2 linked regions of the Oryctolagus cuniculus genome follow. The main gene of each other region encodes a partner of the protein of the gene in region 2 in a complex. Links are inferred from orthologs where the notes say so. Each region holds a gene or a part of one and is shown on either strand. Other genes may lie near its edges.

Region 1 (3,745 bases), on a different chromosome or scaffold from region 2:
TTCCACACAGTAGTTGGCGCCCAACGGGGGGTCCCTGAGACTTGCATGTAAAACTAGTCTAGATGTCTTCTTTTTTGTAAGTTTTATTTTTGTAATTGTGCATGTAAAGCATCATTGAATCAATGGATCTGTTGAAGAACTCAGCTGCTGGAAACCATGCAAAATGTTTTGAATTGCCCTTAAAATATGGAAAATGTTTTCTGAATGCTTTATATTCTTTCTGCTGTAAATTAAAAATGAAGAAAATTTCCCCATACTATCCGTGTTTTGCTTTAACTTGACCCGTTCCCGGAATCCAAGGGGGTGAGCACGTGCCGGTTCCCAATGCCAACCCGTGATCCCGAACAGCGCTGGGCGGACGCCTTCCTGAGCGAGAGTCAGTCCTGCAGACGCCCAGCTTTGCAGTTGAAGTCCCAAGCCCTGGGCCAGTGTCCCGGCCAGCGGCCGTCCGCGCCGGCACCGTCCCACGCCCGTAGCGGCCCCCGCCGGCTCCTCGAGGCCCCCGGCCCCGCCGGCTGCCGCGTGCCCGGCGCGTGCCCAGCGCGGCCGGCCCGGCCCGACCCCCGACCCCAACCCGGGGCGCGCGCTCGCTCCTTCCTCACGTGACAGACGCGGCCAAGCCGGCACTGCGTTCCCCACTCCCACCTCACACTCCGCCTCGACCCGGGCGCCCCTCAGCGCGGCCGGCGGCGGGCGCTGACAGACACCGGTCACAAACGAAAACACCCGGAAGAACGTACAGAGCCCCGCCCTCGCCCAGACAGTCCCTGTCCCGTACCGCCTGCTCCCCCTGACCGCGTCCCCAGCGGCCAGGCCCCCCCACGCCGCCATTGCCAGTGGCCCGGGGCGGCCGCCACAGGCCCCGCCGACGGCGTTAGGACGCAGACGGCGCCTCGCGCTGGCCCCGCCCACGTGGGCGCCCACTTCCGGCGCGCCCGGCCGCGCCCGATGACGTCATTGCCGCCGCGCCACCCCACCCATCCCCGAGCCTAGGTCCTGGGCTGCGCAGCTCGGAGGACTCTCGCCCCGCCGTCCGCGCCTCCGCCGCTGCCAAAATGTGAGTGACGCGACGGGGCGCGGGGCGGCTTCGGGGCCCGCAGGCGGCGGCCCGCGGCGGGAGCCGTCGCACGGCCCGGTGGCTGCCTGCCGGTCGCCCCTCCGCCGCGGGCCGAGCCCGTGAGGGCGTTGAGTGCGTTCCGAGGCCTGCGGCGGGCAGCGCCCGCGGGAGTGCGGGCCGTGGCAGGGCCTAGCTGTCGCCGCGGCGCCGCCGGCCGTCCCCAGGGCCCTGCCGCCGGCGGGCTTCCGGGAGGAAGTGGCTGCGCCCAGCCCTGCAGCCCGGCCCTGCCCCGCGAGGTCCCCAAGAGCAGCGCCGGCGACCGCGGGGCCGGGAGCGGCGGCCTCGGGACACGGCAGCCTGGCCGGGGCCTTGCTGCTCCTGAGCGAATGCGTTCCTGGGGCTGCGGCCCTGGAGACCGCTGTTTCCAGATTCGGTTGTCCAGCATCGCAGGGCCCCGGCAGTCTCGCCTCCAGCCCCTCGTTGCAACCCCTGCGGGGAAAACCAGCCCAGCGCCCGAGGGGCGCGCCCGTGGGACGTCCCTGGGGAGGCCGCTGTGCTGGTCAGCAGAGCCCCGCGGACCCCCGGAGCCGGTGAATGCCCCCTGGAGTGACTGCTAAACCTCGTGTTGAGGGCATCGGCAGTGTCCCCCCCACCCCAAAGAGTTAGGATCCAAGGAGCCCGCGCGGGGCGTGGGCCCTCTGCGTGCTCTCGCGGACACTCCACGCAGAACAGCGTGGGATCTGCCTTATTCCCCGGCTGCTGACGCGCGGCAGGTTTTAAATAACTGATGTTGTGTGGCGAGGCAGGTGCTCCACGCATTATTATTATTATTATCATTTTTGGACAGGCAGAGTGGACAGTGAGAGAGAGACAGAGAGAAAGGTCTTCCTTTTCCGTTGGTTCACCCTCCAATGGCCGCCGCGGCCGGCGCGCTGCAGCCAGTGCACCGCGCTGATCCGAAGGCAGGAGCCAGGTGCTTCTCCTGGTCTCCCATGGGGTGCAGGGCCCAAGCACCCGTGCCATCCTCCACTGCCTTCCCGGGCCACAGCAGAGAGCTGGCCTGGAAGAGGGACAACCGGGACAGAACCCGGCGCCCCGACCGGGACTAGAACCCGGAGTGCCGGCGCCGCAGGCGGAGGATTAGCCTAGTGAGCCGCGGCGCCAGCACTCCAGGCATTCTTGAACACGGAGGAGAGAATTCTAGGACCCAGGAGCCCGTGGTTTGTCAGGAGAGAGGTGACTGGTGACTGTCCGGCGCCAGCCAAGCCCTAGGGGAGCTCCGGGCCGCAGTGGCCAAGAGAGGGAGACTTGGAGGATGAGTCGGTCGCTGAGAGGATGCGATGCTTCCTCGCCATTCTCGAACATTCCACGGCATCCCCCCCCCCCCCCCCCCGCCCGGTGTTCCTACGCTGTGTCTGTAAATGAGTCGCTATTAGGAGACACCGGAACTCTTATTCCTCTGAAAGCATTGTTGCCGCAGTGGAAGGGCCCGGGGAGTCCTGAGTGCCGAGAGCGGCCTGTGTGTGTGCCCGGCTGGGGGTCGCTGCTGTGTACCAGACTCTACCGAGCCTTCCTCCTGGACTCCGGTCCCTCGGATGTGGGCAAATTGGTAATCTTGGAGGAACTGTTCAGGTCTACAGGCAGGGTTCTCTTTCGCTTTGGTTGTGATGTGAGCGTTGTCCGCACTGGAGTCCTGGGGAATGGGATCGCATCCTAAAGCTGACAGTACTGTATTGGGATTCCTGACCGACTCATGCTGTGCCTTTCCGCGTTCCAGGTCCACGGGTGCACCTGCAGGTTCCAGCGCTGCTGCCGGCAGCAGAAGACTTCAGCAGACGCAGAACCAAGTGGATGAGGTATCGCTCGAAATGCTGGGAACGTAGATTTAAACAAACATGGCAGCGTGCCGAAGATAATTCTGTTTAGAAAAACTCTCGTAAAGGTGTGAATGGAACATCAGTGTTGAGTTATCATAAAGGTAGTGAATCTGCCCTAATCTAAGCCAAAGTCAGACTCTCCGGGAACCTATATAGAATCATGTACATAAAACAGTCTCCCTGAGGGCATGCCCCAAAAGTGTCTTATTAAAAAAAGTAACAGAACTTTAAGGATTAGGTCTAAGATTGCTCATGCCAGGACCAGTCCTTCTGATGGATATACATGTATTTTTAAATCAAAACGCTCTGTCCTTTAGCCTGACCTACACATTACCCAGTCTGAGCAAGTCTCTGTAGAATTCATCTGTGACAGTTGCCCATTGACACACAGAAGGCAGTCTCTGGCAAACTGCAGCTCAACACATCCGTATTTATAGAATTCTTTTTTTTAAAAAAAAGATTTATTTATTTATTTATTTGAAAGTCAGAGTTAATACACAGAGAAGACGAGGCAGAAAGGGAGACAGAAGCCAGGAGCTTCTTCCGGGTCTCCCACATGGGTGCAGAGGCCCAAGCACTTGGGCCATCTTCTGCTGCTTTCCCAGGCCACAGCGGAGAGCTGGATCGGAAGTGGAGCGGCTGGGATACAAACTGGTGCCCTTATGGGATGTTGGCACTGCAGATGGTGGCTTTACGCTTAGGCCACAGTGCCAGTTCCCTAGAATTCTTGAGCAATAGATGTTCACAGAATCTTTTTTTTTTTTTTTTTTTTTTTGACAGGCAGAGTGGACAGTGGGAGAGAGAGAGACAG
Region 2 (3,645 bases):
GCTGATATAGCCATGGAGGTCAGCCTTTCAAGGCACAAAGATGGTTAGAGAATTAATTTGTGATGAAAATAGAGAATAATGAGTTTTTTATTTCTTTTGAGATCTAGAAACAAAAACCAACTTAAAGTATTTTAAAACTCTCAAATTAAACATATCAGCTAATTCAGAACTTAGCTCTTAGGAGACCAGAAAGCAGAATAACAACAAAGTATTTCTGGTGGAAAAAAATTATATCTTTTTACAGGCTACTACAGGTTGATTTTCAGGTTTTCCAAAAATATGAAATCCAAAATTTTTGGAGTGCCACAAGTGAAAACTTCAAACCTAATCCCATGTGATGGGATGCAGTCAACACCAAGGAATACAAAAAAATAAAGATAAAATTATCTTCAGACTATGTGTATATGGTATATATGAAATATAACTGAATTTGACAATTAAATGTGGGTCCATTCCTGAAGATATACTATAATGTCTATACAAATATTTCAAAATCCCCCAAAAATTCAAAGTCAGAAACACTTCTCATTCAAACATCTTAGATAAAGGATATTCTGCCTTTACACCAGGACTCACTAGTGGCCAGAGTAGTTACTTGTGTAATTACCTGTTCCTGGGCCACTATTGACCAACCAATAGCTGCCATTTAAGTGATGTGTCACTGCACTGAAGTGTAAGGCATGGAAATGTACCTAGAACCTGACCATTGTCAAGTGTATTCCTGCTTCTGTCTGCTTCCAGGGAAACTGAACCAAGGGTTCTCCAGCCAATGGCTGCATATCAGAGTCTTCTGAGGAAATGTTTTAAAATATTCACACAATTTGTGCAATGCACACCAACTGAATCCGACTCTCTTGAAATAGGATACCAACATCTTTGCTTTTTAAACTTCTCAGATGGTTGCAATCAGAGCCAAGAACCATCAAACTGGAAGCAGATAAAGGGTCTCCAAAAAGTTCATGAAATTTTCATATTATGAAAAAACTATGCATAGGTTTCAAAAAAGTGACACCAAAAATCCATTTTTCCACATTTTTAAATGATTTATTTCTTTGAAAGGCAGAGAGAGAGAGAGAGAGAGAGAGAGTTTCCATCAGCTAGTTCACTCCCCAAATACCCACAGCAACTGGAGCTGGCCTAGTTCACAGGCAAGAGCCAGGAACTCAATCCAAGTCTCGCACATAGGTGGTAGGGGCCCAAGTACTTAGGCCATCCTCTACCTGCTTTGCAGCACATCATGAGAGAGATGGATTGGAAGCAAAGCAGCCAGGACTCAAGCTGGTGCTCCGACACAGAATGCTGGCATCACAAACAGCTTAACCTTCTGTGCCACAGCACCTATCCCTTGACAAAATTTTTAAGTACCTTTATGTACTGAGAAAAATTCTAGAATAAGCCTTTGCCATTTGCAATCAAGTACCTTAACTTTCAAGTTAGATTGTGAAAAAATAGCAAGATAGTAAAGTGCTATGTGAGCCAGCTCCTTCTTCCCCACTCTCACCTGATTCAAACTAAAACAATAATCTTTTATCACAGTTTTCTACTTTGAAATTACTCATTCATATATACTACTTTAAAAAATCATAGCATTAAAATGTGAATGAATAAAATTAATCTTGAATAAGTAAGTCCCTTTGGAGTTCTTAGAAGCAAGCAGGATTAATGGGGCAGACTGTCATTATCATTATTACTCTTCCTGTTGATGTTGGTCCCAAATGGAAAAAGAGAAGAGTAGAAAGGTTTTCTGACTCAACACACTAAACATTTTCTTTCATTCTCAATTTGAATCTTGAAGACTTTGGTTGACATTACAGAAAGAAAAATATAGTTTCTATCTAGTTCAACCTTCGTTTGATGACCTGTAGTACTTCCAACTAATATGATTTTATCCTTAAAAAATAAAAATTTTGGTAAACATGAAGGTGAGAAAGATATGCTGGTAGAAGTGAGAAAAGTAGATAAACCAATCTATTTAAATATACTTTCTTTAAAAATAGAAATTCAGGGGTTCAAAATGCAATTTTTAAAATTACTTCTTTTCCAGTCCAAATGCTGCATTTATTTAGCAAGTTGGCTATACAGAAAGGAAGCAATTATGAAGTTTCTTTTTATGTTCAAAGTTCTGGCTCAATTTACACCAAAAAAAATTCTAAGCTGCTATTCCAGGAAAGCATTTGCCAAACGATGTTCCTCCAGGAACCTCCCTAAATACATACAAACATACACACATATCCTTTTCCTCCTATATGTCCCCCTCCTTTTCCCTAAAAATGAAGCATAAAATTACTTTCTTATGTATGAAAGCTAAACTGTGTTCTTGCTTTGAATAGAGAATAAAGACAGATAAAATAGATGCCTGAAGTTCTACAGACATTCCCTAAGCTTTGTGTCCTGGTTATTCAAGATTTTTCTCACCCTCTCTCTTCTAAAAAATATTACTTGGCTGCCAGGGTAACAAATGATGCACGAGAAAATGAAATGGATGAAAACCTGGAGCAGGTGAGCGGTATCATTGGGAACCTGCGTCACATGGCCCTGGACATGGGCAATGAGATCGATACGCAGAATCGCCAGATTGACAGGATCATGGAGAAGGTGAGCACGTGGCAGTCAGCAGGTGGCTACTGTTGGTCACTACCAAAATAACCAATAGGAAGCATGAAGGGCACAACAGGACCCTCAAACCATGGCATTCCATTCAGGTCTATTGATACTTGGAAATTTCCCCTGTAATTTTCCTAAATGAAAACCCAGGATTCAGCAACAGAACTGGAGTGAAGACAAACAGGTAGAATTTAACCTACTGGCTATTTGTCACAGGCTCCTATATGCCAGGTATTGTACTAGGCGTGGTAAGACATATGAAAATGAGGAAAACACCATTCTTACCCTATGGGAGACAACTAACCATCATATGAATTTATCACCACCAAGACAATCTACAGATAAAATGCTGAAAGGGTTAAATAAGGAAAGATTTCAAGGAGCATGGATTGGAAAAAATCTCAAGAGAAAAGGTGAATTTGAGTAGAGTCTTAAACAATGGAATTTTCAACTGGAGATGGCAAAGCAATTCAATCAGGAAATGAGAGAAAGAACAGTTGGTTTAACAGGCGATGTGTATGTGCTTTGTTGTTAGAAATGCCAAAACATGAATCATAGTTCAAGACCTGGTTTGCATTTCCAGTCCAACAGTTCACATCCTCAAATATCAAAACAGGAAAATTACCACTTGATGAAACTGAGTTCACACACGGACACTAGGCTTAGCTTTAAGACCATCAGTGTCAACAAGAGCCATAAAGAAGAATGGAGAAAGTAGAATGGGAAGAGATGGGGCTGGGGGCTTAAAATTAGAACAGAACAGAAAGAAAAGTCTATGAAGAGACTTAGGGCACCAAAATCTAATATTCTATACCATACAAATCTGACATAATTTCTACTTCCTTGTAGTAATTATGTATCTATAATCTTGTTTTGGCTTCTCTTATGTTGTGTGTTTATTGCCTGGGAGATATTGACGTTCTTATTCTGAGACACTGAATTTCTTGATAATGCTTGGTTCCACTTCAGTAGACACAGGAGGATAGTTTGGAGACTTTTGAATCATAAGGCTACATAGCAGTTTCATGGTACCAGAGCAGC

Evidence for each region.
Region 1: the proteins of SNAP25 (region 2) and VAMP3 are in contact, whole or in part, in a crystal structure (PDB 5KJ8), measured with the Rattus norvegicus proteins. The link is inferred for Oryctolagus cuniculus from reciprocal best matches to the Homo sapiens genes SNAP25 and VAMP3. Residues at the interface, in NP_112253.1 of Rattus norvegicus: Asp147, Leu150, Glu151, Val153, Ser154, Ile157, Leu160, Arg161, Ala164, Leu165, Met167, Gly168, Ile171, Asp172, Gln174, Asn175, Ile178, Asp179, Ile181, Met182, Ala185, Asp186, Asn188, Lys189, Ile192, Ala195, Asn196, Ala199, Thr200, Met202; in NP_476438.1 of Rattus norvegicus: Ser15, Arg18, Leu19, Gln21, Thr22, Gln25, Val26, Glu28, Val29, Ile32, Met33, Asn36, Lys39, Val40, Glu42, Arg43, Lys46, Leu47, Glu49, Leu50, Arg53, Ala56, Leu57, Gly60, Ala61, Gln63, Phe64, Ser67, Leu71, Lys74.

What each region holds. Positions count from the first base shown.
Region 1 is NC_091438.1:159,935,296-159,939,040, reverse strand, and holds the start of VAMP3 (vesicle-associated membrane protein 3), read left to right. Parts: upstream 1-902; 5' UTR 903-1,055; coding exon 1,056-1,057; intron 1,058-2,834; coding exon 2,835-2,913; intron 2,914-3,745. UniProt on the Homo sapiens protein: SNARE involved in vesicular transport from the late endosomes to the trans-Golgi network.
Region 2 is NC_091442.1:35,237,607-35,241,251, forward strand, and holds part of SNAP25 (synaptosomal-associated protein 25), read left to right. Parts: intron 1-2,450; coding exon 2,451-2,595; intron 2,596-3,645.